Caenorhabditis elegans: one gene and its partners. The protein of the gene in region 2 interacts with the protein of the main gene of each other region in a pairwise test. Each region holds a gene or a part of one and is shown on either strand. Other genes may lie near its edges. The genes, in order: dve-1, ulp-4, atfs-1 and hmgs-1.

Region 1 (9,255 bases), on a different chromosome or scaffold from region 2:
ACTTTATTTCTCAAAACATTCAAATAAAAAGAAATAAACGTGGTTGTATGTCAAAATTCTGAATAAAAGTTTTTGGCATATAAAGGGCTGAAGCACAACTGAAAAGCAGAGAAAAGTTTAAATTTGACAAAAAAAATTGAGAAAACGGTGGGCAAGATTGATATTGGAAGTGGTAGACATAAAATTAAGATGAATAATATTGGAAAGTAGTGTGACGGTAAGAAGGGAAACATTGAAAAACCATTAAAACTATGTGATCTGTGGAACATTGAAAGAGACAAAGAAAGCGATGGGAAATTGTTGATTGAAAGAAAGAAGGAAATTAAAGCCGGCTTAATTTCCCATCAAGGTTAAACAAGACAAGAAGCGACTAGAAGTTTTGCAGAACGAAAGATGCGTCGAGATATACAGCTAGCGATTAGGTGTAGCTTACAGACAAAAATCACAGCTGGAATGAAAAATGAAGTAGTGATTTTGCTCTTCGTTGAAGAGAAATTGTGGGGCACTGAAGATCAGGAATTCAAGGGGTACACCAGTATGACGGTTAAAGAAGGAACTATTGATGTGAAAAACTTAATGTTCTTTCGAAATTAAAGATAATAAGATTTTGAAAAAAGTTGGAAATTTTAATTTTATACGAAAACCTTCTGCTCAAGCTTTTCCTGCATTCCATTCAACAATCGCTTGCATTTTGCACGTCGATTTTTGAACCAGATCTGCAATTCGAATTCGATAACTAGTAATCAGTATTAATATAGAATATTACCTTCACATTGTGCTGACTAATATGCGGATAATTCTCTCGATAAGCGCAGTTGTTCAAGCATTGTGTGTACTGATCGATTTGCATCCATGTCGGGTGAGGATTCTCTTCGAACCATTTTTCGAGGACGGGTAGCTCGGTGAGTGGGTCGAACATCAGGCGTGAGCGAGCCGCTGAAAACACTAAAACGGAGATTATTTGCTTTATCGTTGAATTTTTTCAAACGTTCCGCGTCAGTGATTTTATCGAAAAATAGAAGTAAAATTCCACCTTAAAGTTTTCTTGTCGAAAAGATAGAGAATTTTTATGCAGTCATTTTTCATATGCATAGCAAACGCAATCTAAGAGCGTTTTAGAGATAGCAACCAATATAGGTTTTCAGACTGAGTATCATGAACATGGCCACCTTCTCGATAAGTTTGAGCCAGTACAAAATCCCTAGAATATTTCTCAAAATCAAGTTTGCAGTTGATTTTCTGTTTTATTTCTGTAAACACAATACCTAGCCTCATTTTTTTTTCCTCAGATCTCAGTGATCGTAATGGTTGTCTGTGCGAAATTCGACGCCCCACATTTCTCCCTTTGTTATGTGTCTTCGCGCACTTTGTGTATGTCTATGTGTGTTTGTGTGTGTGTGCTCGCTTCTAATTTATGAGTTCTTGGTTCAACCCATCTCCCTCTCTTTTCCGTTAGCCTGTCTGTTTTAAAGCTCTTTGTTGTACCTGATGAGTTGGCGTTTTGCATGGAGTTGGTGGATGATGAGTGGGTGCTGAATGCTCCGAGGTCGAGCCCGCTGAGAAGCTTTGGGGAGGTCGAGGACAATGATTCGCGCATTGAGTTTGCCATATCCGGGGAGGATGCAATTGAATCCTGTAGGAAATGTTGCTTGTTTTGGGATGAATAATTTTTAAAGGTGGACCATAATTGTGTCGAAAAATATTTTTAATTGGCGCTCAGCCGACGCTGACAGTTTGGAATAAATTCAGATTTTCGGCCGTAGTGTTAGGTCTTTATAACCTTATCGGTAATATTTAGCAATTTGGGAGATGTTATCTTTAATGTGAATCAGAATCGAAATAGCCGAAAATCCGTTTTTAGCGTGATTTTTCAAAGCTTTTCAGCACGAGCAACGCTAATCAACCTAACTATGGCACAAACAGTCAAACGTAACTTACAATTTCCGGTTCTGGTTTAATATTGATGGAAAACAAAGTATCTTGAATAGTTTCATCTGAATTGCTATGAATCTCATCATCGGCTGGAGATGGCGAGTCGGAGCCGCCGACAATCTTGGTTTCATCCAGTTTGTCGTAAAAATCAAATTTTTGACGTTGTTCTCCAAACAGGGACTGGAGCAAGTTGAGTTGGAATCCCGGGAGCAGCTGCGCCGCTGTCTGAGCTGACGAGACCTGCACTAGGTCTACTGGAGCTAAGGTACGGGAACTCGAGCGTTTTTGTGTGAACCAATTGCAAATCTGGAAATTCATTTGATTAATGGAGTAATATGTAGGCGCATTAAATTCACCTGTTGATAGCTGATCTTGGAATTGTTCTTTCTGAACGGACTCTGATTGAGCTGGCTTAAGTAATTGTTCATTTTTTGTTTAGATGGATTTGCATCGGATTTGAACCATTTATCAAGACGTGGAATTTCGTAAAGAGTGTTGAATCTTTGTACTTGTGTTGGGCTGAAATTAAATACATACATTATTATGTGTACTGAAAGTAATATGAAAGCAGGCGTTTATCTTTCTTGAGAGTGGAATGAAAAGAAAATCATGTAGCGTATTTCTTCTATTTGTATTGCACCCGACTACCTAACTTTGAAACGTTATATCTTAATTCATTTTAAAGAGTATAAATACACTTTAAAGATATACATATATTTTTAACTACGAATCTATAGAAAAATAACTGAAAAAATATTTTGTTAGTTAACAACTTCGAATAGCACAAACGATAACTGAGATATAAACAGTTAAAGTTGAACAATGTGGTACAATACAAATAGAGGAAATACGGTGTAATTACTCGTATACAAGTTTTTTGTAAGGATAGTTTTTAATCATTTTTTACTGACACTTTTTCTCCAATCACGACTCCATTCTGATAGTTATACTGGGTCCCCTTCTTCTTGTTTTTGCGCCCCCCCCCCCCCCCCGGGTAACAGTTTGGATATATCACTGTATGCACACAACGCATTCAATCTCCCTTTTTCTATTCTTTATTACTCTTTACAGAATGCGTCACCGCCGTCCTTTCCCATTTTGCCCTTTATTCTGCTGTTCCCATTCCCTCAGAGCAATATGTACATGTTTTGTATCCTCTCTTGTGTCTGTATGTCACAATAAGATTACTCACAACACAACTCAATTATTTGTACAGTTGGAAATTCGAAAATTTGGATGTGCTTCGATGACTGGAAAACTTGATTTCAGCTTTTTCTTTTTCCTTTTTTCTTCTCGTTGGAAGAAGGAGTTTCAATAAAGGAATATGTGGAAAACAACTGTCTCCATCACTTATAATTTGACTTCTTCCCTTTGTTGTCTCGGGAATGTAGATCAGCAGGCAGTGGCAGTTTCAGAGATGTTTTCACGGGTCAACAAGGGGCCAAAACCAGTCCTGATCTCTTAGCCTCCTTCTCTTGAGAAATTGAGAAAGACACAATGGCATGATGGAGGGCACTTAGAGAACGACCGAATTTGATCGTTTTGTCTTTTGTCTCGTTTTTTTTTTGAAATTAGCTATCTTCATCTCAGTCTAATACTGCTCTCTTATCCGGGCATCAACCGTACTGTCAACCGGCTTAGTGGAATTTATAGTTGAGTTACGAAATAAAACTTGAGTTTTGGTAATTGTTAAATTCTGACAAGCCACATATTTGGTGAATCGTCTCCTAAAAATTTTAGATTTTCAAAAATTTTTGAACTCAACCATTTTAAGTTGGCAAATAATAGAAGGCGTACGGTGTTTTATTATTTTAGCACTAAGAACAAGGAAAATTTTTGGTACTTGTGGATTATTTCACCTCATTTTGAAAAAATAAATTTTAACATTTTAAAATAAAACCGTGTGTAGTTTTTTATTTTTAGGCTTAGAAAAAAAAAAAAAAAAAAAAAAAAAAAAAAAAACGTTTTCTGCTACGCAAATGGGTAATAAAGTAAAAAAAATCAATTTTATATAACGATTTTACAGTTTCAAACAATTTTTTATAGATTAAACTTGTCTTCAAAGCAATTCTTAGATACTTCGGTATAAACTAGTGTTTCTAACTTCATTCACGTATATCTTCATCACTTTGCCTTCCCCTTCCCATTGAACCCATCCCCTACTCTTTTCCAATCCCAAACAATCATCGTTTTCGCACATTGTGTGTGGGGGCTGTCACTAATAAGATGAATGGTGATGATGGGCACCAAAGAAAGAGCAAATGATACAATCTGCCGGCTTGTTAATCCCCGACGCCTATCCATTCTGATTGTTACGACACTTGAAAACAAAAGGCGGGTTTTTGATGAAGACAACCTCAGGAAATTGAAATTCTGACGGGGGGGGGGGGGGAGCTCCAATGAATCCTTGCGGTGGAAATTAAACGAAACTAACTATTTAAGTTAAGTCCTCTCTTTTCAGATGTGAATAAGAATGCACAGACGTGGAAAAGTATATTGTTTATATGATATCCGATAGGAATCGGTTTTACCTGATATCTAGAGACAGCAAAATTCCATCTCCTAAATTTCCCCAAAAATTTATAAACAAAATGGGTGCTCTCTCATAACTTTTCCTTCAACCACAATGTATACACAATCCTGCCTGCAGCTCAAAATTCCTAACCAATCCATAAAGTCTATTTCTACAAACAAGCCGAGAGGGGGCTTAACTCGAGCACCGAATAGCGGCTTAACTTGGCGCTACCCCCCGTGTCACTGCTCTCTGTCTTTTCTCTCAAACTCTGCCCCCCCCCCCCCTCTATTCACATCCAACACGCACAGCGGGATTACGGTGGCTGGTTGGCTGACTGGCTCGCAACTCATTGCATGGGCGGCGCTATCTTACCTTCTACGATCCTCGTTCGTTTCCAGCGTATCAAGCCATTCGTTGACTGCACCAATTTGTTCGGAATTCAAGAGTGTTTCATCTCCGGCAATGATTGTGTTGATGACATCCTGCAATTATCAGAATTGAAATTGAATTATTGAGAAAATAGCAGCTACCCACCTTAACCTGCTGATTATCCACATTTGTTAAAACATTGGGATTTTTGTTTACTGCAGCTTTCAGGAGTTTATTCTTCACCTCACTTATACATTGCACAGAATTTGAATCCGTAGATCTGAAAGAAAATCATGATGATGGTCATAAAATTGTGTGTGTGTATAGGCATATGTGTGCCCAGGGATAGGGCTATAAAAATCGAATTCGGTCCGTGAATGGTTTGTGCTTTCATTGGTCTCATAAAAATTGCGTCGCAGGACAAAGCGCTAAAGCTTTTGCGGTATTTGTGAGTGCCATGTTTGATAGCAAACTAAATGCCAAATATCAATAGAATATGAACGATATAAAGAAATGAAGGAAGCGACAATAATCCGCAAACAGATAGGATAAGTCATACGGGGATCTAGGTAAATAATTTTGTTGGTCCCCGGACCCTCCCGCTCCTTTGACTTTTGATGACTAGAAATGCGCCCCAAAATGTATCTTTTTTCAGCCACCGCCAATTTCAATGAGTTTTCCCCCTTTTTTCCTTCCATCACTTTTTCTCTCCTGTACACATGTCTGAATGTGTTTATATATATGTGTGTGTGTGCGAGGCGCGCATTGTACATACCTATGTTTGCCATTTTCTTTGAGTAGTTCTAAAGAGGATGTATAGGGGTTGTGAGGCGCGATTTTGCTCACCTTTACAGAATGAGCCCCCCGGAGCACACAAACCTCCCGATCGACAGTCGTCTGGTTGGAGCGGGATTGGATGGGATAGATGAGGTTATAGTGCGGAGTGAAACAAGAATACTTCAGGAAACACTTACGGTTTTGACAATATTTTTAGCACTACATGTGATGATATATCTTTGAAGAGGTTTTCCACAGTGTCATCTAAATTTTCAGTAATTTGATCGAATGGCAAGGGTTTCCAGTTGTTTACTTGTATGAGGCCTGAAATTTCTGAATTATCGATTTTCGGACAACAAATGCAAAATATTTTTTTAAAAAACCCTATGCAATTCCCTTCGTTTTCTTTCCGATTTCCCTTTCACATGATTGCATAATCTTTGGGAAAGTAGATACCAAGGAGGCAAAGCCGCCGAGAAAAGAACAGGTTCGACAGTCTGTTTCACTTTCTACTAAGGTGGAAGAAAACGTGAAAGTGAGAAAATGGGAGGAGGGCGCTGAAATCGCAGAAATACCGTTGATCTGGCAAGAGGCGCAGAACAAAACACATGAGTGGGTAGGGTCGTCTTAGCCAAAAAAAAGTGGGTGATCTCGGGGTAGGAGGAAGATGTATATCTTCTTACAGCATAGCGAAGTTGCGCAACCACGTTATGCTTCAATGAGATTGAATTGAAACTGAAAGTAGTTGTCAAGAAAAGGAGATCCCACTCAATACTCAATTACTTACTCGCCTAGAGTAGGGTAAATCTGTCAATCACAAGATAGATCTGTTATCCGTTTTTGGCGAATGAAAAAAAGGAACAAAAATGAAAGAAAAGAAGATAAGGAATGTGTACTACTAATACCAAAATAGTTTAGCTAGTCACGAGGTCTATGGCAATTTTCAAAATGTTTTCTCAACTAACCTCGAGCACTTGTCGACATGCTCGAATGTCCAAGAGCTGCTAGTACAGTTTCGACGAGTTGATTTAATGTAGTGGTCCCTGCGACAATTGCATAAGTGTCTGTGATCATGTGTCCTTCGTTTGAGCATGTCAAGCAATGTTGAGAGCGAACTGTTTCCACGATTACCCTCATTGGGAACATATCTAGCTGAATGAAACTTTATATTTGAAATTTTTAAAATAAAAATGAGAAATCGAGATAAACTAATAGCAGAAGAATCGAAAGAAGAGCCAGAAGATAGTTGGATAGATTTAGCTCTGCGCTCCGATTGGTGTGCGGACTTCCCGCCCACTTTTCATAGATATGGAGGAGGCGGGGCTTTCTATGATGCGGGGAAGATAGATAGAAAAAGAGCGAGTAAGAGAGAGAGAGAGAGCAAGAGCAAAAGAGATATGGTAGTTGTGGCTAGTTGGAGCAAATAAGGTGGAAAAGAAAGCGCGCACCTATTCAACCGTAATTGCGATGGAATAGAGCGGAGAGCAACAAAAATGGAAGAAAGGGAGATAGTGGGATTTGTTAAGGCGATTAATGAAAAAAGAACGGGAGACACCAAGTTTGGATAACAGATTTGCAGTCTGTCCAAGAGGGGGTTAGAAATCTTAAGACACAAATAAAAACAACGAATCAGGCGACATGTACTCATTCTTCTTACTTCTTACTCGCTACTGAAGACAAGTTGAAGATGAGAATGGATGGAAACGAAAACGAAAACAAGATTTGATATGGAAAATCTGAAAGAAGGCGACCACGTCGTCGCCAAGAAGAGATTGAAGACGACGAATGGAGCGAAAGTAGTAAGGAGGGGTTGAGGGGGGGGGAGGTCGGGATCGAGATGGCATAATGTAGGAACCGGATGGAAGAGTCTAAAAGAGGCAGAGAATGCGGAAGATGAGGAGAAATAGGTAGGTGAGGTAGAAAACAGTGGAAAAAAGAAAGATGGGGCTGGTTGCCAACCCTCCCCCATCTGTAGAAACGATCATGTACTACTAGTTCGAGAAAAGCCTCGGGTCGTTGTGGTATGGCATCGTCTTAGTCTTCGTCGTTGAGGGAGGAAAAAAGAAGAATCGAACAAAGACAATCCACTTGTTCAAGATTTTCTCTCTCTCTTCACTCTTCTACCCTATAACCCCGCCTTTCTCTTTTCCTCACCGTCAAATCGAAAATAACGACGCTACACATCGCATAAGGGGCGCATCAGAATTAGAATTGTCCCGATGTGTCAGCAGAGATAAAGGTTAAGTTACTTATAGAAATTTTAAGGATGCGCGTTTCGGGAGAGGAGGGGGTCTGCCAGTTATAGATAAGACAGTGGTTGGAATGCAAGTCACTATTTACTTAGGAGCTCCGAGTGGGTTTGGGATTATTGTCGATAAGATAATGTGTACACTTTTGATACTTCGCCACACCAAAACTCAAATCCGTTTCTAGAAATTTATCTAACAAGGTTTATTGTTAAAATTACTATGAGTCAAAAATCAACAATTGGTATAAAACGTGGTTTTGGAAATATCTAATTTTTCAGAATTTTTGCAAAACTCTGTGAGACTCATTGATTAATCATTGTATTCTACACTTGTATTATCTTGCTCCATCTCCACATAATCAGTTCTAACAAACGAATGTTTGTGCCCCTAAGCCTAGAGGATTTAGTTTAGGTGTCATCGTAGCGGCTAATTGAAACAATTGCAATCTGGAGCAATACTGAAGCAAGGAGAGGGGGTTCGAATAAGCCGGAAAGAGTAATCCCGGTTGCTTGAAGACACCAACCCCGCGGATGGGATTATACAAGAAGCATGAAGTAGAAGTATAGGGTAAATGAGACCCTTCTTACAAATTTGAAAGTCGAGAAGTTCTAGACTTCAAGGGGCAATGCAAAAAATCTCAGTTTTACATATATTACGTATCGTACGGTAACGCAAAAGAGAAGATTAAAGAGGAGGGGGGGGGGGGGGAAGTCAATTGAAATTCAGCGGCCTTATCATACGATATACATTATATGTTTACCAACTCAATGGACCGGACCGAATGGAGAAAGAGATGGTAGGGAATGGAATAATGTGATGGGTTATGGTGGGTGCTTGCCCCTTGTTATATGATATTCAGTATTTTTGAAAGAGGAATTATAAATATTCTGATTTCAGTATGATTCTTCAAATTTGTTTTATTATATGATTCTTACATACAAAAACTGTAGGACATTCAAAAATTGAGTAAGAAAATCCTAAAGGTGGAGTGGTTGTCCCAAAATGACGGAATATCATAATAAAACTTTCAAAAATTTTTTTTGAATTTTTTCTATTTACAATCAAAAAGTGGCAATTACTCTGTTTTTGCCACTCATAATTTTGGAAGTCGACCAAACAAAAACATTTTTTCTACGTTTTTTTACTGTTATTTTGTTTTAATTGTTTGTGTTAAAACATCGTAGGGGTGGATCCATGCGACATTGCTTTGGACTTTTTTCAAAAGCTCAAATTATTCAAAAATGTTGGCAATTTGCCAAAACTTTGACCGGAAATTATTAAAAATATAAAATTTTTTGGAGTGTTTTATTATGATATTCGGTTGTTTTAGATTATTATAAGTGTATTCAGACAAAATCCCCACGTAAATTTGATACAAATTTATATGTAGCTTTCAAATTTACAATCTACTCT
Region 2 (8,513 bases):
TCAATTGCTCTCGTTTGTGACCAGTTTGTCGTACATAAAAATGGCTGTAACCTGCTGTAAATATTTCCCACAGGTTTGTTTCATATTGTCCATTTGTAAACAGTATTCTAGCCTGAAATTATTTTTTATTATTTTTAAATTACTAGTTTTTCCAAAAAAGTTTTCAAAACTTGACCGCGAAATTTTGCGCCAAAACTACGGTATCCGGTCTCGATACGACAGATTTTGTTTAACTCAAAAAGTTGTGCGCCTTAAAAAGTACTGTATCGTCATCAAAAATTCACGAAAAAAAGCTGGGAAAATGATGTTTTATCGAAAACATGTTAATTTAAATTATAATTTTATTCAATCGAAAATATTTTTATCCAATCGTAGAGAAATTATCAAAAAATATTTAACTATTGAAAATTAATTTTAAAAAATACAAGTGATCTAAAATAAATTGTAAATAATTTCAGGCTTACTTCAACTATACCCGAAAAAGTACAGTTGGATGGTCAATCGGAAACATCATGCTAGATTTCACAGGAGGAACTCTCGATATTCTTCAAATGATTCTTCAAGCAGTTAATGTGAACGATTGGTCTGCATTTTATGCGAATCCCGTCAAATTCGGACTGGGATTTGTCTCAATATTCTTTGACATCATTTTCATGGTTCAACATTATGTATTGTATCCAAATGCAGAAGTGAGTCAATTAGTTTTTATCCCTTTAATTATTTTAAAAAATTATGAATAGAACAAAAAATTTCAGGAACCAAAGAAAAATCAGGAAACGAGTCGTTTTTAATAGTTATGATCAGGTTCCTTGAATGTTTCTATATGTTTTAATTCAAAAAATAATTACTTACCAACAACTTTATGTTAGATTACTAAATCTTTAAAAATTAATTGAATTCTGATATTTTAAATAATATAACTTTTTGAAGGTTCCACACAATGAATATCATGGTGTTGACAATCCCAATCCAGACAATATTGCTCGTGATGCTGAACAATATGCCGGCGACAGTGAATCGATGGAGTCAACGGAACCTATTATTGTACATGACTAGATCATAATATTCAAATTCTTTGCCCTCCTCGGTGCCTTTTGTTGTACATATTCAAAATTTCTATTGCATATCGTGATTTGAATAATATTGATTCTACGGTGATAAACTTGTTCAGTGAGAAATAAGATTTTTAAGCTTTTAATCAACAGTTTATTGCCTTTGCTCAAGATCTTTTACAACATGGAACGATTTTTAGAAGAGCTTTTTTGGAACAATATGAGGACAGACCCTATGAATCTAAAGAAAGAGAACCACATAAAAATTGGGAAAACGGGAGAAAAAAACGGTAGGAACGAATAACATGGAAGTTTGACAAAAATAATATTATCAAATCAAAAATGTAGAAAAACGATACGACCCATATCATCCAATCAACCGAGGCGCTAGTAAAAAAAACAAAAAAAGAAAATGAAATCATAAATATAACAAGATGTGAAAACCAGCGGACACCAAAATTTTAAATGACAATTGAAGATTGAAAATGAATTTTTGAGAAATGTCGTTCTTGATTTCTTTTCAATATTCGATTACCAAATATATTTTGGAATTTGTGTCATGGATCCGACAGTCAAAACTATTAAAGAAGTGTAGCAAGAGGGTGAAAGCACAGGGAGATGGTAGCTGGCTCAAAACGAAAGAAAAACATAAGATTCGAACGAGAAAGAGAGCGGGAGACTTGATATTTTTTACAATAACAATGAAATGCACCAACATTCAAGATTTGAAAGGACATTTTGTCAACGACTTTTGAAAAGAAAGCGCTGATCTCCAATAACTACTAAAACAGAAACAAGATTCGTCATTAGAGAGCAACGCTGTGATGGAATTTCGTGACATAAATTATCTTCAAGTATTTGAATGCTAGATACCCAACAAAAAATGTACAGATTGCAAGGGTATGGAAAAAATTTGAAAAGTAAGAGGGATCAGACAATGTCATCTTATGAATTACCAGGCATAAAAACAGTTATCTTCACTAATTAATACTTTTCAGCTTTTTAAAATTCATAAAAAATCATCATCATTCTCCACACTCACCTTAAAGACATTTTTTTGAAGGAAACACAAATCTCTCACACTACAAGCTGGAACAAAGAAACAACGAAACCCATGTGAACGTAGAGTTTTGGGCACGGAAAACCCAATCTTCCATGTTGAAGGAAAGTGTCTAAATGGTGGATAGAAGGGGATTAAGGCAGGCAACAGTAAAGTGGGAAGAGGTGAAGAAAAAGCTGGGATATGAATTTGAATTCAATGAAAATGGAGGTGTTAAGGGAAGAAATGGAGGTGACGTGATACTATAGGTAAACCGATTATTGTTGAGAAAAGTTAAAAACTGATCACAACGATGGAATACTTACAGATATATAAGCGCAGTCGGAAAGAATGGAATCGTAAAGGAACGAAGAAACATAAACTCGCAAATTGTCGGAACACCTGTTTTGTGTCTAGAAGTCGGTGAAGGGCGGGAACGGGGAAACTGAAACGCCGAATAAATAGTTCAACGATGAACAATGATGAACGGATATCAGCTGAGAAAAAAGTGAATGTGGTTAACAACAGAAATAAGGAGAAGAAAACAGAGTAACAAGGGTCAACAATGAAATGGAGAGATATTTTTTGAAAATTTTTGGTGGTTTTTTGAGTGAAAATGGGTTAATATAACAAAAGGTTCCCTTGTCACGAAAGCCTTCAGACATCAGAGAAACAGTTCTTCGGAAGACTTTTCAGTGGGAGAATTCGGCAGGAAGGGATGAGAAATGGAAGACGGACGGTAAAGAACCGGGGCATATGAGACAAAGTATGCATTCCAGAAGGATATGCTTAAAGTGCACGATGAGGTGCGGCAGTGCTATAGCCATTGAGCAATTCGACAAGCGGACGCCAACGAGCTCTGTTCGTGGATAGTGATAGAACAACTCGTTGCATTTCAGTTCTCTTCGTGGCCGTTGAGAAATCTGGATATTCTCGTGCAAAGTCGAAGTTGTCGAGCTAAACATAATATTTTTTATAACGATCAGTCAAAAAGAATGAACTTACATCTTTTGGCGGGCTCAGCAAGAAACGTCTAGCAAACTCTGCAATGAAAATACCACAGTCGAAATTGTTGGTTTGTTGAGGCATTCTTTGTGGTAAAATGCACGGCAATGGAAAAGGCATAGCATTTCCGGTACGTTTCTCGTATGAATACTTCATGAATGATTCGATTAATGTAGCCATGTTCTGTAGGTTGTTAAGATCCGCAGTGAGCTGCGAATCAAAGATAACCGTGCGAGCTTGAGCAGTGAACGGATGACATATGACTGCCAATGACCAATGCTCCCACTCGTTTACAGGAACCACAATGTAATCAAAATCTTGGAGATCGAAATCAGCAACGAAATCATGCAAATCGCCGAATTTGAGATCCATCTTTTGCTCATCACTCATCATCTTCTCGTCTTCAGAATCAAAGGCGTGCTGCCGTAAAGAAAGATTATGCCAAAATATCGATGGAAGAACAGTGACATTTGAACCATTGCTGTCTGGTAGTACGTGTTCAACAATGTGATTCAAATAGAAGTCGATCATCGTATCGTTGAGAAGATCCTGAAAAAATATACTAATGAATTTTGTGAATCAAAAATATTTTAAATGGTTTCTCCAGACTTTTTTTTGAGATTGTACTACAGTACTACATCAGAATGTATATAAACTTGAACTTTAAATAATGAATCATTCGACTCGTCAATTTAATATAACATATTCTCCTGACCTCTTCGCGCATTTTTCTGTTGTAACAATATGTTCCTTTGTTCGAATAGCCGATCAAAGATCAGCAGTTGCTGCTGCTCATCTACGAGTTACGCCGTTCGGTCTTCCCCCATAATCCACAACACTAAATTACATTGCTTGTTACTCATTATTTTACGATATCCTTCAATCATCTGAATTTCTTCAAGAGTATGGGAGGTGCGTGCGCGAAAAATTTGCGCGCGCGATTCGAAAAAAAAACCAGTTTATTACTACCAGATGACCCTGAACTGTCGCAGCTGCCCACACAAAAAGAAGACGATGACATCGGAGGTCTACGAAAATCGGAAAAGGAATTTAGACGGCGACCCTTGTCATCTGGATGAAATTAATCGAATTGTTCTCGAACGGTCTTTGTTTACATGTTATGATGCGAAGGTAGCATTAGATTATTCCCCCACTCCACGACAACTTCTTTTCATTGGCTGGCGCTGTGCCAACATCTCAGTTCGCTCAACACACAAATTCCTCGCACACATCGAATTCAGTTGTTGTCTCGTTTCTCTGCGCGCCCGGAGCCCCGCGGCTGAGCCCGCGCTTCACGTACCTGGCACCGAACACCCTCCTATTTTTACACGAACTCTCGCCTTTTTGGCGCGCTGCCATAAGATCTGCTAGTAGTCATAGTTAGAGACAAAAAGAGAGTGCGCATAACCCTTGAGTACTAGAAGCAGACCGCTCTAGATGGGGAGTTGAGACCATGAAGTGAGAATGGATGTTGACAGAAAACCACCACCGCTTCACTAATTTTCTCGTCAAAACTCAATGAATTTTTGTTTTGCACAACAAACAACTTCTCGCGGGATATTTGTTATCTTGAAAATGGGAACTGTGTCTTCACCGATAACAAACAAAAGAATAGTTGGTGAATTTGAAAACTAGATAAATCTGAAATCCAAAATACTAATTACTTAATTTGTTTTCAAGTTTCTAATATTATTGTTTTTATCGGATAAAATTCTCAAACTAATTCAGGATTTTTGAAGTTCGCAAACAAGTTCGTTCCTCTGTTTCTCCGCCAGCAAGGCAAACAAAAACCGCAACATACACATTCGCTGGGAGACACAGCATAAAAAAGGTTTGGGCAGTGTGGTGGGCGAGTGTATTTCACTGAGAAAGTGCATTTAAAGTGCACTTCGCGCTTTTTCGCCTTCCGGATTTTTCCTTTCTTTGAATCGGCAAATTTATTCAAAATAGACCGATTAACTAGATACGAGGATAGAGACCTTGTTCTCACAACCCCCAGTCTAATAAAAATGGACCCAAATCTTGTGGAAAGTCTAGACAAGTGTTGAAATATAGGAGATAGTAAGAGACGCAGACGACCTACACAAAAACAACAAAAGGGTATGCAAATAGTCATCGCCTTCTTATGTTTGAGAGTAGCTGTACACAAGTATAATCCAAAAATAGTGAAGAGCAGATTACATACCTTCTCCTGGAGACAGCAAAAATCCGAAATTCGAATGGCTATTGATTGGAATGGGAAACGGATTCGAAGCATCTCCATAGCTGCGTAATATGCAACGCTATTCTATAAAAGGAATCGTTTTGTTTTTCAACTTTTCAGAAAATCAGATGACATTTAAGGCTATAAGAGGAGGAGCCATAATAACATATATTTATCACCAATCATCGAATATTGCTCAGTGCTCTGACCAATACGCATTTTTTTGTATTCCCGAAGGTATAACCCACTTGATTATCAGTCCGCTTCTGATTTGTCCATTCGTCATTATCTTCCTCGTCTTCTTCTTCTTCATCTTCGTCCACCAAATCTTCTGTCATTGAAGATTCCATATCGAAATCGTCTTCCTCAAAATCCATGTGTTGATCGTTACTTCCTGAAGACGTTTCATCCTCTTCTCCGATAGAACCATCTGAAAAGATTTTGATAAATTTAAGATATCACATTTTTTGATAAATTACCTAGATGAGTTCCGTCTGCGTAGTACCCTTGAGAATTGTAGCTCCCCATCCGGAATAGGTCATCTTCTCGCATTGAGACATCTGAATCTTGAAAACTGCCATATTTGAAATTGACAGCCGGCGTACAGTAAGACGTTGACACTTCCATATCTGTTATTGTTCATGTACTACGTGCAATACATATAAGGAGGGTGATTCTGAAAAAATAAAATTAATAGAAAGAAAATATTATAGAAAACGATAGAAGATTAAGAGTTTAAATGACAACTTTTTGAGAGAAATCAGAAAACGAAATGAGAGAAATATCAAAAAAGATCAATCTTCTTTCAGTGCATCGAAGAATGTAAAAGAGATAGAATCTAAAAAACTAATGGCTCCGAGTCCCAGACTCACATTGCATCGACCTATATTTTCGGAATTGAGGATGGCGTGGCGTCATAGATAACCAACAGGTGGTATTTCGGATGAAAAGTACGGCAAGGACGGGCAAGTTCACTAAACAAAGTGAAAGATGGGAACTGCTAAGGCCATTTTACAAATGTATCTCAATCTTCGACAACCAAGATAAGAAAACTGTCAATCGATCAGTATGACAGTATTAATACAAGCAATTCAGGGTTATTGAGTATAGAACATACATATTGAATACTTTACACTCTATATAAAAGTGATGAATATCCCGATGAATACGGCTTGGTTTGAAGTTGATGTTGAGGGCGTATGATGACCAGTAACAACAAGATCATGCATGCTGCCGCATGCATCATCCTTCTGCTATTTAGATCGACGGATCCTTTGAAAACAACTGAAACTTCTGCAATCTGGAACAAACAAATGTTAAAAGCGCAGATCAGGTGCAATCACATGATTGGCTATTAGAAACAAATGAAACACTTCTTAAATATTGATGTTTAGGAAGCACGTGAACATCTCATTGTTGTTCTATTCGTACAGAAAAACGGTTGGTAAGATATGACGAAATGCCAAGTAACTTCGTAGAATGTCGAAACTTTGTTCGTTTTAAAACAGCAGTGCTAATTCAAATTCTGTTTTTGGCGCCTCGCCGTTTGTATCGCGCCCGCCAATACAACAAAAAACCAGACAGAGAGCGAACGGTAAAACCAACTGCATGTGGCATCGAGCGACAGGGCGACAGCGAGAGGAGGGAAAAGGAGAGACCTTTTTTCTTTCCAACTGCCGTCCTCTCCTCCTTCTTTCTCCCTCCCCAGGCCGATGGGGGCCTTCACCGTCGCCGCCGCCGCTCAACAGCCTGGGGGTAGTGGAGACGGAGAGATAGAACGAGGGCAGACGGGGGTGATTGAGGAGAGGACGAATGGGCCGAATGGGCGGACACCAAGAAAAGGGACATCCAAGCGAATAAGAGAAGGAGAATGTAAGGATCAAGGCTCTCTGTCTTCTGACTTTTCAGTATATGATGATATTCATATCTTATCCTGGCATGCATGATATGAGAGTGACTACTGGAGAGATGTATTCGATATCGATAAAACACGGAAGTTTTTGAGGAAGAAACTCAAGCAAACGGATTTAGAAATCGAAAGATAGATTCGAAGTACAAGCGTATTATCGGTGTCGAGAAGAACCTTGAAACGTTAACGACCTTCTCTCTCAGTCTCAAAATTTCACACGCATGTGATTGATCACAGAGGTTTTTGCAGACAGACGTTGACTAGTCTAGGTACGTCTCGTGACACTTTTTAGATCAAACTCGACCACATTACACTTTTAAAGATGCCACATCGAAGCTCAACGTATGATTAAATGTCACATAGCAGAAATATATTATTTCATAAGATTGCTCAACAAAGGAAACCGGGAACAACAGAGTATCATACATTTTTATCGGCAATTAAATATTGTTGAAACAACTAGATTTGTATAAAAGGACATTAAGCTCGAGCTATAATTATATTTGTTCAGCCGGAAACATCAATGATAGAACGGATCACCCACACATCTCGGATTATACTCAACATTTTGAAAAAGCTTAAAATAAATAAATACAGCTAACGTAAACAACTTTAGTCTAAAATACCATATGGTTATTTTAAGATCTTTAATCGAAGTCAGGGACAAACATAATTTCACTAGATTTTGAAGTGCCTTCTTAAAGGCGCACAGGTTTATTCAGATGGGTCTCGGTGCGCAAAAAAGTTTATGGTAGTTTTTCATTTTATTTTATTAGGTTTTGTTTTTTCTTCGCATTTTCAATGAAATAACGTGGTTTTCAGCAAATTTCGTCGTTTCCTTTTTAATAACTCTGTGAAAAACAGTTAAAAATCAGTTTTCAAAACTCAGATTTCGAAAAAATACCATAAACTTTTATGCGCGCCGAGACCTATCTGAATAAATCCGTGCGCCTTTAGGCACTACAAAATCTAGTGAAATAAAATTTTCTATTTAAATCTGAAAACAAACAGTTACAAACTTCAGAAATAATTTAAGCAATACTTTTTTTCCGAATAGAGGGATCAGAGAAATACAAATGCAAGCTACAAAAGAGATGACCAATTCCAAAAGTGCAACAATCTTATTGGACCTACTGCCGCTCGGGGGAGAAACGAGGGGGAAAGAAGATGAGTTGAGTGGTGCGCATACAAATAACACACTTCTCTTCTGTTATCACGGCCAAGTCAGTGCTCTCACTACCCAAAAATGTTGCGAATTGTACACACCTGTAACGAGTGTGTTGCAGTCAAAGATAATGAATGGGT
Region 3 (7,175 bases), on a different chromosome or scaffold from region 2:
GTCCGACAGTTTCTGTCGAGGAAAGTGTGAGTGTTCCGACATCTTATGTCGAGGAAAGTAACAGGTCCGACAGCTTGTGTCAAGAAAAGTGCGATGACCGGCAGCTCCGGTCGCGGGCCCCCCTCCTTTTGCATCGTTTTTCCCTCAGCGTGTCAAACGCGTCATATTGGCGTTTCAGTTCAAGGGTATCTTACCCGAGAAAAATTAATCGGTTTCGTTCCTAGAATATGGCAATAATGTGTTGCTTTTTTGATAATTTTCAGTTGCCGGAGTGTGCGGGGTTCAAGACACGTCTTCATGACATTATGTATACTTTGAGAGCGACGACGGCGAGAGTCGGGGGAACAGGGTTCGAAACTTCAGAACGAACAGTAGAATTCTCTCAAATAGGAGATTAAATGCTCCTCTTTTCCACTTTTTCATAAACTATTAGAATCATCGCTTTGGGCGAAGTGATAAATCAGACGAGCATAACGTATATAGTGACCAATCATACTTTTCGAGAATGGTCGGCACAAGCTTCATCAATACTTCAAATCTTCTTGATAATAAACTTCAGTGGAATCCAAAGATTATTTCCTCTAAAACGTTTGGTCTGGAATAATAAATGCAAAAAAGTCGATGAACTACTTAATTAGCGTCGCAACTAGTTCTCACACGCGCAAGGTTGGCTAAACAGGTAACGTTTCAGATCGTGAAGCAGAAGGTCAAGGGTTCAACTCCGGGTGGTGGCAAGAAAATTTCTCCGAGAACGGTAGCAGGCTTAGAAGAGGTGTCTAGATTCCACAGGGTACTACCTGTGGAAAAAGTGAACGAACAGGGTCGGCAGGGGAGCTGAACGAGAATAGAAAATCTTTTTTTTTTCCGGAATCCAAAATCACATTTTCCAAAAATTCACTTTTAAAAATTCCGAGTCTAAATAGAAGCAAAACGCACTTATATTTAGAAAAGAGTAGAACTATTTAGAAGAAGAAGGTATTTCTAATTAGAAGAAGTAGACATATTTAGAAGAAAAATGCGCTTATATTTAGAAAAGAGTAGACCTATTTAGAACAAAAAGGTACTTCTAATTAGAAGAAGTAGACCTATTTAGTTATAAAAAGCTCTGCTATTTAGATGAAAAAGCATTTCTAATTATGTCGTGTTAGGAGCTAGCGCCATTTCTAAATATATCTGCTTTTTTCTTCTAAATAGAAGCGAAAACGTTTATCTGAGTGGTAAATTCAAAATAAGAATTCGCAAAAATAGAACAAAATTCTGCATTTCTAGCAAAAAACTGTAAAAGCTTTTCCTCGGGGAGTACACGAGCTGCGTAATTCGACACAGGAACAATGTTCAACCTTGATATCAAACCACATTTTTCTTAAAAGTTTACCGTCTCATGGCGATGATATTACATCGTGCAGCAGTGATGTTTGTGTAAAAATGTTACACAACTGCGTCACGAACACAAGAAAAATCATTGAAATGTTTTGACATTTGTGAAACAATTTTTAAAAAAATTATCATTCATTTTGAGTTGATTTTCTGATTGAGATGTGAGCAGTTTAGATTTGAGGAGTTGAAATTGGATGGGAAATTTGGGATCGAATACCCGTAACAAAAATACAAGAAATGGGCAGTTTTTGAGAGAAAAAAAAGATGGGGGAAAGGTTCTATGAAAAATGATCTACAGTTGGGTGAACAAAGGGAGAAAAACTATGTAACCAAAAAAAAAGTTAGCAAAACTGAAAAGAACAGAAAAAAAGAACAATTGTTTCGAATTCTGATTATTGAATAATGGCGCCCATTTTACGAAGCTCCTTTTTCATCGAGTTGATCTCACGCTTTAGTTGACGTTCTTTTTGAAGAAGAATTCGATTACGATCAGCTACTTCTTGGAACTCCCTGCAAAAATATTAAATTTTAGATATCTATCTGCTTTAAATTTTTAAAATTTAAAATTATATTTTTCAAGATTGCAAGTTTAAAATAAATATTCTTACATTTTTCTTCCCTTCTTCTCGGCTCGTTTCTTCTCTCTATACCGAACTGCTGCTATTCTATTCAACATTCGTCTTCGATCGGTTTCCTCGTCGACTGAAGGCTTCAGAACAACTCCACGTTTCTTAAACTTCTGATGTTCTTCTGGAAAATAGTCATCGGAAGCTGGCGTCCACGAACGTTCAGAATCACGACGCCGAAGATAAGTTGGCGTAGCAGATTTCCGATTGAGACGTGAACTTGTTCTTCTGGCTTCAGATGCTGGAATATAGTCTTCATCGTCATCATCTCTCTGCTGGATAAAGTCGTCGAAAACGTCTTCTTGTTTCGGAACACAAAGAAGAGGTCCAGAAGAGAAAAGATCAACATCATGGTGCATTCTGACAGGTGCTCGATGTTCTTGCTGCATTGGAGCTGATGGAGTTGACAGTCTCAAAAGATTCGACGCTGATGATGAAGAGCTCAGGTTGAAGCTGGGAAAGTGAGATGATGGTGGTGGAATCATCGGATCATAGAGGCTTATTCCAGAATCTGGAGATGAAGTTGACGAAGTCATCAACGAATCGGATGACGTCATTATCATGGGTTCTTCCTTGAAAAATGCTTCTGGACGCTTAAAAACGTCGTCGTCGCTCTCCAAGTAGTGATTCCATGCCTAAAAAATTTAAATTATTAATGATTTTCATTTAAAATTAATTTTTAAAGGTCACTAATATTTTGAACACTCCAAGAAAAAACGAAAAAGTGTTAAGTGTAATATTAGCAAGAAATTATTTTCCAAGTCATACCTCCCAATCGACAGCTTTCGATTCTTGCTCAATGTCCATTTCGAACTTTGACAATTTTCGATCTTGTGGTGGCATTCCGTACTGAAACTATTTCAATCATAGAATCAGTTCTTGGATTAGGGGAAAAAGATACCTCATCTATTCGGGAAGTTCCCGTTAGCTGATCGATCGCCGATTTTGATGGTGATTGGAAGAGCGGGGAGCCCTGAAAAGAGAGCAGATTAGCATGCGGGAAAGTGGGTGGTGTGATGTTATTTTTTTGTATTTTTTATGTTATAATTCAGGGTTTTTGCTTTATTAGGATCAAAATGCATGCTGTCGAAAACCCGGATTTTCATACCGAGAATTTTCAAAATTTTCGCTAAAATGACCAAATTTTAGCTTAAAGGTGGAGTAGAGTCGAAATTTTTTGCTTTAAATGACAGAAAATAGACCCTAATAACCGAATATAACTGTAAAAAAATTCAAAAAAAATTTCTAAATTTTTTGAGATTTTTTCAATTTTTCAAAAATCAAAGAAACGGTCGAATTGAATTCCCGCGCAAATGAATGTCGCCATTTTTTATATTTTCGTGTTTTCTGGCTAAATTCGTCGGTTTTTCTTAATTTTTTCTTTTACATTTGATCTCAAAAAAAGCACCGTTTGCCAATTTTTCGAACATTTTTCCGTGAAGATAACTTGATAACCGAAAAAGTGTCTGAAAAATTGAAAAACGTTGTTTCAAATCAAATATAAAAGAAAAACTTAATAAAAACCGGTAAATTCAGCCAGAAAACACGAAAATATCAAAAATAACGTCACTAATTTGAGCGGGAATTCAAATTTAATTCGGCCGTTTTTTTGATTTTTGAAAAATTGAAAAAAAAACTATTAAAAAATTTTAGAAAATTTTTAAAAATAAAAAATTTTTGGACTTTACTGCACCTTTAATTCTCCAATTTTGTTAACTTCCAGCAGCCGGAAATTAATTTTAATTTTCCTTTGATTATTGTCTTATTTTTAATGTTTCTCGTGTTTTTTTTGTGTTGATTTCGGCTTTAAATGCACATAAATCAACCAAAAAAAAAAGAAAAACTAATTTTAGGCGGCTTAAAGTTGGCAAAATTGGAGATTTCAGCTAAATTTGATTTTTTTTCGAAAATTTTAAAAACTCTCGTTATGAAAGGTCTTTTTGGGGGATTTTTAGTCGGCAATGCGAAAAAGATTCGATTAGAAACACACAAATCGAAATTAATGGTTAGTTTTTGTTGTATAAATCTGCACAATGGTTAAGAACTATTTTTCCCGTACCATATTATCTCCAAAATTGGAGAAATCATGCATTGTTTCTGTTGTACTTGAATGCGTGGGCGGCTGCTGACATGTCTGCTGTTGTTGCTGATGACCATGTGGATGTCCAACACTGCTACCATTCTGCCATGAGTCGGTCGGTCGCCATGCTTCCAGCTCAAAACAATCAGTTGATTTTCCCAATCTAGGATCTCTGCCGCAAACCGTCACGTTTTTTCCCTCCCAGAACTGATCGAGTTCCAGCTCGTCTGATGGTGCAGGACACGGAGCCCGAGGCTTAGTGTGCCATGAGTCGAGGTCCAGTAGCTCGAGCTCTTTGATGACTTCATCGTCGTCCATGGGTACGCCGAGGAATGGATCATTTCCGAAGCTGGTCCTGTAAGCTTATATTTTTCTTGATTTGAATTTTTTCGCGCAATTCTCACGTTCTATGCCTCACTGAATCGGAGAAGCTGTGCGCAAAACTGGTCAGCTGGTCATTGATCGGTGCGGTTACCTGAAAAACATTTTTCATGTCAAAAATAATATTTTTCTGCAACAAAAAGCAAACCTTCAACGGCTGCTGATAGATGTTATCTCTGCGGAACGGACAATTTGACACAGCCTGGGCACCAAAAGTTGTGAGACGTCCCACACGGGAAAACATTTTGATGGTACTGTTTCAGATGGAATGAAGAGTTTGGCTGAAAAAGGAAAAATAGGTTAGAATATTGAGAAATATGGAAGTGGTATGAGGTCAGAATGAGGGATATATGTGTAAAGCATATCATATTTCATATATCAGATGACAAAAGGCGAAAGGAGGCGGTTTCTATTAAAATTGGAGATATTTTAAAATATTTTAAACGATGGAATTTAAAAAGAAACTGATATTTTTGAAATATTTCAAAAGAAAAATTAATTAAATTTGTGGGTTTTTGGGTCCTGAAACGACTGAAAAATCCCATAAATTTGTATAAATAACTATTATCGAATGTTTTGGGTGTTTGTATCACGTTAAATCTTTGATTCAGACACAAGTTTTAAGGCATTAAAAAAATCAACAAAATTCAGATTTTAACGAAAATTTGTTTTTTTTTTTCGAAATTTTGACTCGCCATAAAAATTGTTGGATTTTTTCAAGAAGTCTCGTCATAAAATTAGGTTGTTTCTGGCAGTTTCACTGTATTTGAACCAAAAATCCTTTTTTTGCAGCGAACCATTATGGGGATTTCTAAACATTGATTTTTGCAAGAAAAATCTATAAAAACTGATGAAAATCGAAAGAAAATTCAAAATTGCATAGAAAAGCCTAGAAGCTTCCATCATGCAAATTGCATCATGACTCACATTGGCAGTGCTCTATACCACCATTGGACCGAAAAAGTAGTGTAATTAAGATTTAATAATCGATTTCTACACCATAGACAATTCACAATTGACCGTCGAACCAACCACATCGCACAAAAAAAAAGATTTTGATAAGGTGAACAAGTGAGTGAGAGAGAGAAAGTGCGTCTGTCGCAGAGGAGAGATAGAGAAGAGACGCAGACGGAGAGACAGTCGGGAACATTGGGCAAGAAGCGGAGAATGGCAGAGAACGTGATGGAGAGGAGGAGTCTAACGGGCGGTCGTAGAGGTTCTGAAGGAGGTTTCAATGGATTGCACAAAGGTGAAGAAGCTGGAGGTTCTAAAAAAGAGCAAAGACAAACGAATTTGTGTGCGACGATTTTGTGTTCTGTGCTCGAATTTTATGAAAATCGTTTTACACTTTTCGAAAAGATAATAAATAAATATTTGAACTGTTCTCTGCGACCAAAATTTTTGCAAAATTCAAGGATCTATAAATTAATTTCAGTAATACATAGTTTCATATGATAAAATTTCATGACATTTTTTCTTCAAAAAATAACTTTGCAAGCAAAACACAAATTTTACAAAGAAAAAACCCCCAAACAAAGGGAAAACTGAGAAAAAAATGCGGAAACAATAAAAAAAATAAACTTCCATGCATACTTTTACAGTATCCTTAAAGGCGCATGGACGTTTTGAAACTCGCGCGTCAAGACCCACCTTTAAAAATCGTTGACAATCCTTTAGACCGTTACGGTACTTTGCTTTTTTGTCCTTTTATTATTTTTAATAAATATTTATTACAATTGTTTTTCAATGTGAAAATTTATTGGAAAACTAGCAACAAAAAACCGAAAGACATAAATATTTATAAAATGTATATATTAACACTGAAAGAAAACAAATAAACCTTCAATCACCTTGTTTTTTCGAAATTAAAAAATTCATCAGTAAAGTTTATGACAAATGTGTCATTCGAGATATTGCAAATTGTTTGTTTGTCACTCTTGTAATCTGGATTGAAGAACTTTGCCATTTGAACAGGATTAAAGTTATGAGTAAACTTGAGGCTTTCCAAGTTTTCAGATTTTTTGATAATTTAAAAAAGATACCAATTAAATTGAAGAAGAAGCAATAACTCAGTATAATAACTCAAGAAACAATAACAGCTATAGCTCTCGTGTCGATTTATGGGCTCGAATTCGGCATAAAATGAATTTATTTTCGAATAGAGACATCGATATTCCATTTTTACTCGTTTATTTAAAACTTTTTAAAAAATTCTATCGATAAATAAATGGTTTTAATTCATTCTCAAAAATCGAGCCCGTAAATCGACATAAACGCTACAGTAGTCATTTAAAGAATTACTGTAGTTTTCGTTACTAGATATTTTGCGCGTCAAATATGATGCGCAATACGCATTCTCAGGATTATTGTATTACCCTAATAACATTCTCAGAATATTGTATTACCCTAATAACGTAAGATCTTTTCGGTTTTAGAATTAATTGTATTGACAATTCAATTGCTGTAGAGCGGCCTGTAGAAGTAAATTTTTTTTTCCAGGGTTGCAATGAGCTCATTTCTACAAGTTGACTCTTAACGCAAGCGCAAAACTAGCAAAAAATCAATGATTTGAATCGGGATAATTTATTTCATAAAGACAAAAGTGAAAGAAACGAGATTAGGAACCCGTTAAACGTGAATGGGAATCTTGTACATTTGCAGGTGTAACTTCGAAAGAAAATAAGGAGTTAATACAAAATTAAATATAAATA
Region 4 (5,444 bases), on a different chromosome or scaffold from region 2:
TCCACAGCTTTTGTGTGCTCCTTCCCATCAGTTGACGCTAAACGCTAAAGTCGGATTTAAATAAAAAGTACTAAGCGGCGGTTTATTTTATTTATAAAATGTACACAAAATAACACAATTATTATCACTTTCTCATTTGAGACTCGGAGAGTGGCGAAGAGCGGAAATGAACGCAAACCTTTTCTGTAAAAATGAGGGCTTATGCAACGTGTATGTTTGTTGCCGAGAATTCTTTGTTTTTTTCTGATTTTTCATTGTTTTTCATCAGAAATTAACCCTTTTTAGAGTGGGAAACGTCCTAATCCAGAAAGGGAAAAGAACCCGTGAGTGTTGACATCATGAGTACATCATGCAATCCAAAACTAAGAACACATCGTACCTTCTCCTTCGTCGATCTCGATCTCGATCCGAGTCCCGATGCCGATCGTCGCGACGGCGGTGTGAATCTTCTCTTTTTCTGAAATTCTAATTTTGGATGGTTTACTTCTGAGGGGCCGATGGTGCCATCAGGATTTTTTACTAGGCATGTTTCATGTGAAAAAATTCAGGAACGGTGAGATATGAATTTTAAGCGGCGAAATTTCAGAACCGAGCTTGCGGTGAGTTTTTGAAGATGCTCAGAGCAGTGGTTTCGTGGGGCTCACGAAGCTTCCCACAAGCTGTTCTGGAATTTATATTTAACCGCTTCACATCATGGTCCTCCAAATGAAACATGTTTCGTTCAAAAGTCCGGTGCATACCTGCTGCTGCTGGAGCGGTAGTAGTCGTCTGTGTCCGAGCTTGACGACCGATCTCTTCCCATCTTAACTTTGAAATTAAATTGAGCCGTTCGAGAAATGGAAAATATTGTCGTGACAATAGTACACGTGTTCAACAAAATCAATTATCAGAAAAAAACAACTCGTTTTAATTTAAAAAAAAGAAAAGAAAATACAACTCTAATGAGCGAATAAAAAACAGTAACAAAGAAGTAGACTATGGCAAACGATGTGATAAAATTAAAAACTAAAAAAAAAAAAACAAAAGATACATTTTTAATGATGAATTCCGTTCCCGTTTTGAACACCGTTTGGTTCCTCGTGTAAAGTATATGATCGGCGATAAAGCTTGTCCATGTTATCAAGGAAATAAGTGTTGGGAAACAATGAAGTTTCGGATGGAGATTTTGGAATCTCTGAAAAACAAAATGACATTAAAAACCAATCACTATTAGAATTACTCACCTTTTGATCGTAGGAAAACTTCTCTTTTTTGTAATGTTTCTGTAAACTCTTCTGGAGTAAACTGAATTCGGTCATCGAGCCTTTTAATCGCCCTTATTGCGACTTGACGAATTTTATCAAGATTAGATGTCTGCCTAACTCTTCCTGGGAAAATTGCTGACGCTAGACCACTTCCATAGGCGAAGAATAAAATGCTTTTCTCCCCGGTGACGCTGAAAAGTAATTTTAAAAATTAGCTCTAAAAATCGGTATATTCTTCATCATACCAATCATCTGCTGCCAAGTATGCTAAAAGTTGAGCAAAGAGTGATGGAGTATACATATTTCCGATTCGCCTGTTGAAAACAAGATATGGATCTGTTTTTTCCTTCCAAACTTGAGCAGACAATTCGATCATTTTTGCAAGTCCAGCGCGATCGTTTTCATCGAGTTTATGATCGACACCATTTCCATTTCTGAATAAAATAAACATTTGAAAATTTTTCTAAACTAATCAACCTACAATTGCTTGTGACGAAGTTGCGAGTCAGTATAGTTCATCACAGCCAGGCCTTTTTGAACCATTTTCGTGAACGGTGAGTGAAGAAACACTCCGTCAAATGAGTTCAGCCCGTCGATACCCGTTGTATGGCGATTAACTTTTGATATGAAATATGTGTATGTCATTCTGACTGCTTCCAAATATGAGCTCAATGATAATGATCCATCGACAACGGGGTATTCACTCGGAATCGGCGCTGGAATTTAATTTTTTAAAAGTAAATAGAGAAATTAATAGCTTACTAATTGGCTTAAAGAAATCCCACGTGTTTTTCATGTGACACGCTGAAAACTGCCGATCAATCGGAATAGAAGCATCTGGACAAATAAGAAAAGCAATCGCTCCTGCACCGCCTGTACATCTCGCTGGACCTTCTTCATATATTGCAATATCCGCGACTACTACAATTGCGTTTTTCTTATCAAGCGGATGATTCACTGTGACCCAATCGATAGCGTGCAGCAGTGCCTGAAAATATAATTGAAGATTCTATTTTGAGAGACAAAAAACTCACTTGTGCGCCTCCAAAGCAGGCATTTTTGATGTCGACTCCTTCAATATCCGAATTTCCAGGAAATAAGTCCATTAAAGCTGTCTTCACACTTTTGCTCTTGTCGATCATTGTTTCGGTACCTACAACCAAACAGCCAATCGAATCAGTCGAGATCTAAACACACTGAAACTGAGGAAACTAAGTACTTTGATAGCGAATATTACTTTGTAAGTTTCAATAAGTTTCCTTGTGACTGTAAGGGAGATGGATACGATGTCCTCGTTGTCCGAGCAGAATCCCATTTGCTGTTGCCCCAGTCCAATTGTGTATTTTCCGCTGGATACATTGTTAAACTGCAATTTAGGAATCAATATTGAAGAAATAATGGTATTAATACCTTTTCTAAATCATTTTGATCGACAAAGTTCTGGGGAAAATACAACTCAATTGCTCCAATTCCAACATCCGTCACTGGTGTATATGACAATTGACCCAAGCTCATGCCTGCAATAAACTCTTTTTTAAATGTGAATTGCAAAAAATCACAAAAAACGATGATTTATCGACGAAAAGTGTTCATTATGCAAATTTGCCAAAAAAACAGTTTTGAAATATCAAAATGCCCGTAAATGTCGTCGAGGCAACGGCTCTTCCCTGCGAGACCCAAGGGAGGGGAAACCGATTTACGAGTCATTTGTACTCCTCTCGGACAAACTAAAATTGTATCATTTTCATTTTTCTGCAAAACTTCGTTTTCTTCATTTGATTTCATACAAAAAAACATTTTTCAGAAAAAGAAAAAATGCTGAAAATTCTAAAAGGACAAGAAGAGTCAATTAAGGGCTTGATTGTATGTGAAGAAGTGGATAACGCGTCGTCACTCCCATTTGTTCTTCATTTCCTTTCTACAGCTTCGACTTCAAGTCAAAAAGTCGCTATTGTTTCGACCAAATTGTCTGAAACAAATTACAAGTGAGTAAATCTTTATAAAATGGAAAGTAAAACTAATTGTTATAGACTGATTTGTTCGAAGGCTGGAGTTCGATGGAATCCCACTCAAATTAGTTTCTACGATTTCTTGAAACCATTCGAATTATTTGATATCACCTCTGAACAAATTATGGACGAGTTGTACAAGGTATTTCAGCATATATCTTTTTTCGAATAAAAATTGTTTAACTCAAAATTTTTCAGAAATTAATTGATTCCTCTGCGTCAGTTATTCTCTTCGATGATCTTTCAATATTGGAGCAATTTGGAGCAACTTCAGTTGAAACTACCATTTTCGTGCACAAAATCTACACACATTTAAAGACGTTATCACAAGAAAATGCGCTTCTTCTCGCTTCTTTCTCTATCCATTCGAATGCTGTGGATATTCTGAAACCCCGCTGCCACGTATTTGTCCAGATGTCGCCAGTAAGCCATGGTTTTGGAAAAGATGCATCAGCAAAGGTTCGTGAAATCTGCAATATTGTCGTTCATTAGTTATTGTTGAAATTCAGGCGGTGCTCACTATCAAATCACCATCTGCTCCAACATCAACGAAAGGAATTCTTCTTTCCGGTGAACGCACAATCAATGGATCATATATAACTGTGGATCAGTGATCTTGTTTTGTTACTGAATAAAAAAAATGATTCAAAAAAAGCTTTTCTTCGTTATCATAACAGAAAACAATGGGCACAGGCTTCAACATACAAATTTACACGTATTTCTAAAAGAGCCTGATTTTCGAACAAATAAGAGAATGCACTAGAAATTTTAAAGATTATCTATATTATGGAAGGTTGTCACATGTACTTCTGAAGTTCATTGTAAATCGCCAGAACCAATGCTGCACCAGTTCCACGAATCGCGTTCACCAGGGCTCCATGGAAAAATGCCTTGGGTCCTTCCTTCGTGTAAATGTACTGAAAATAAATAAATCTTTGTCCGAGAAGCAATTAAATGATCTTACTTTGATGCAGGATATTGTGTTATTGAACGGTAACGTCTTCTTTCCAGCACCCATCATCAGTCGTCTTCTTACAGTATCCAGTGGATAAGATGTCATTGCAGCGATCAGAGTGACGACTTGTCCAACAAGAAATGCTTCAGTAAATGTCATCTTTCCGTCACTATTCATATATGGAGCCGTTGTATCGAACAGACCATAATATGCTCCTCGATAGATAATCATGTATTGAAGCGATGGAATCAGACCTCTGAAAAATAAATAATTTGAAATCAGTTACACAAAAAAAATCAGTTACTTGTATAAGCCTGGAACTCCGTCACTTTTAATTATTTTCTTAGCACAATCGAACATTCCCGTGAATTCGCGATCCTGAAAACATTGAATCGTTAGAAAATTTAATTAATTAAAAAAAAAAACTTTTAAAAGAATCTTTTACCGATTTTCTCTTTCCCAAATCGATGGCCAACCTCGTTCTTATAAAATCAAGAGGATAGATGGTGGCAAGAGTAGCACATCCTGATCCACCTCCAGCTACCAGATTTCCTGAAAAATACAATTAAATATGCTTAGCCATCGTTTTCATTAAACCAACCTACTAACCATCTGGAGTGTTGTGTTTTGGGATCAACTCCTTCCAGACTGTATTTCCGGAAAAATTCTTTAAAAGATAATCCTAGAGATTCTTGACTGCACGATCTTAATATATTCACCCAATTTCCTCGCCAAAATGAAAGGAATCCTTGTTCTCGAGGCACTCTGATAAAGCAATCCACTATTCCTTTATATCTATTTTCTAGAGCTAGCGTTGTCTGCGAGTTTTGGAGCTGAAAAATGCAAATTAAAAAAATGATGCAAAAGCTAATTTTATGATTTCAAGTATTTTCTACACATCAAAAAATGCTCAAATTCACTGAAAACTTACTTGTAAGATTAGTTTGACCCGTTCCACTGGAGCAATCACTGTTTTTGAAATTGCAGCTGCTGTTGCACCAGCCATGAAATCTTTTGAAAACTTTATGACGTCATCTCTCGATACACCTGAATTTAAATATTTTTAAAACTTGAATGTTAATAAATTAATTAATCAAATGAAAACTAACCTGGAACTGCTGTGTACACCGACATCTCTCGTTTTTATATAATTTTCACTACGAAGGTTTGCTCTACGTCTACGATATTTTCTGTAAGAAAATTATATTTAACTTGTGTAATTAAGAACGGAATAAA

Evidence for each region.
Region 1: the proteins of ulp-4 (region 2) and dve-1 interact in a two-hybrid assay, tested with the Caenorhabditis elegans proteins (one study listed by BioGRID).
Region 3: the proteins of ulp-4 (region 2) and atfs-1 interact in a two-hybrid assay, tested with the Caenorhabditis elegans proteins (one study listed by BioGRID).
Region 4: the proteins of ulp-4 (region 2) and hmgs-1 interact in a two-hybrid assay, tested with the Caenorhabditis elegans proteins (one study listed by BioGRID).

The regions. Positions count from the first base shown.
Region 1 is NC_003284.9:427,055-436,309, forward strand, and holds the start of dve-1 (Homeobox protein dve-1), read right to left. Parts: upstream 6,746-9,255; 5' UTR 6,740-6,745; coding exon 6,559-6,739; intron 6,447-6,558; exon of another isoform or gene 5,918-6,446; coding exon 5,791-5,917; exon of another isoform or gene 5,097-5,790; coding exon 4,982-5,096; intron 4,930-4,981; coding exon 4,820-4,929; intron 2,452-4,819; coding exon 2,289-2,451; intron 2,239-2,288; coding exon 1,939-2,238; intron 1,634-1,938; coding exon 1,486-1,633; intron 946-1,485; coding exon 767-945; intron 717-766; coding exon 633-716; 3' UTR 1-632.
Region 2 is NC_003280.10:8,127,422-8,135,934, reverse strand, and holds ulp-4 (Ubiquitin-like protease 4), read right to left. Parts: upstream 5,976-8,513; 5' UTR 5,927-5,975; coding exon 5,779-5,926; intron 5,730-5,778; coding exon 5,548-5,729; intron 5,384-5,547; coding exon 5,282-5,383; intron 5,241-5,281; exon of another isoform or gene 4,954-5,240; intron 3,646-4,953; coding exon 3,097-3,645; intron 3,049-3,096; coding exon 2,881-3,048; 3' UTR 1,191-2,880; downstream 1-1,190. Other genes in the region: ctns-1 (Cystinosin homolog), read left to right, coding at 1-73, 459-689, 931-1,056. UniProt on the Caenorhabditis elegans protein: Protease required for deconjugation of smo-1 conjugates from target proteins which is necessary for cell cycle progression. Required for respiration and the maintenance of normal mitochondrial homeostasis.
Region 3 is NC_003283.11:14,192,016-14,199,190, reverse strand, and holds atfs-1 (Stress activated transcription factor atfs-1), read right to left. Parts: upstream 4,746-7,175; 5' UTR 4,709-4,745; coding exon 4,613-4,708; intron 4,559-4,612; coding exon 4,488-4,558; intron 4,439-4,487; coding exon 4,063-4,438; intron 2,977-4,062; coding exon 2,905-2,976; intron 2,859-2,904; coding exon of another isoform or gene 2,853-2,858; coding exon 2,772-2,852; intron 2,639-2,771; coding exon 1,986-2,638; intron 1,888-1,985; coding exon 1,770-1,887; 3' UTR 1,499-1,769; downstream 1-1,498. UniProt on the Caenorhabditis elegans protein: Acts as a transcription factor during mitochondrial stress by activating the mitochondrial unfolded protein response (mtUPR).
Region 4 is NC_003283.11:5,681,829-5,687,272, forward strand, and holds hmgs-1 (Hydroxymethylglutaryl-CoA synthase), read right to left. Parts: upstream 2,762-5,444; 5' UTR 2,760-2,761; coding exon 2,655-2,759; intron 2,611-2,654; coding exon 2,482-2,610; intron 2,432-2,481; coding exon 2,279-2,431; intron 2,233-2,278; coding exon 2,007-2,232; intron 1,961-2,006; coding exon 1,726-1,960; intron 1,679-1,725; coding exon 1,490-1,678; intron 1,436-1,489; coding exon 1,224-1,435; intron 1,175-1,223; coding exon 1,035-1,174; 3' UTR 893-1,034; downstream 1-892. Other genes in the region: prp-39 (Pre-mRNA-processing factor 39), read right to left, coding at 380-457, 741-802; F25B4.4 (Elongator complex protein 6), read left to right, coding at 3,060-3,229, 3,275-3,395, 3,452-3,712, 3,763-3,867; F25B4.7 (ADP/ATP translocase), read right to left, coding at 4,051-4,170, 4,218-4,464, 4,513-4,586, 4,654-4,760, 4,810-5,041, 5,140-5,255, 5,318-5,342. UniProt on the Caenorhabditis elegans protein: This enzyme condenses acetyl-CoA with acetoacetyl-CoA to form HMG-CoA, which is the substrate for HMG-CoA reductase.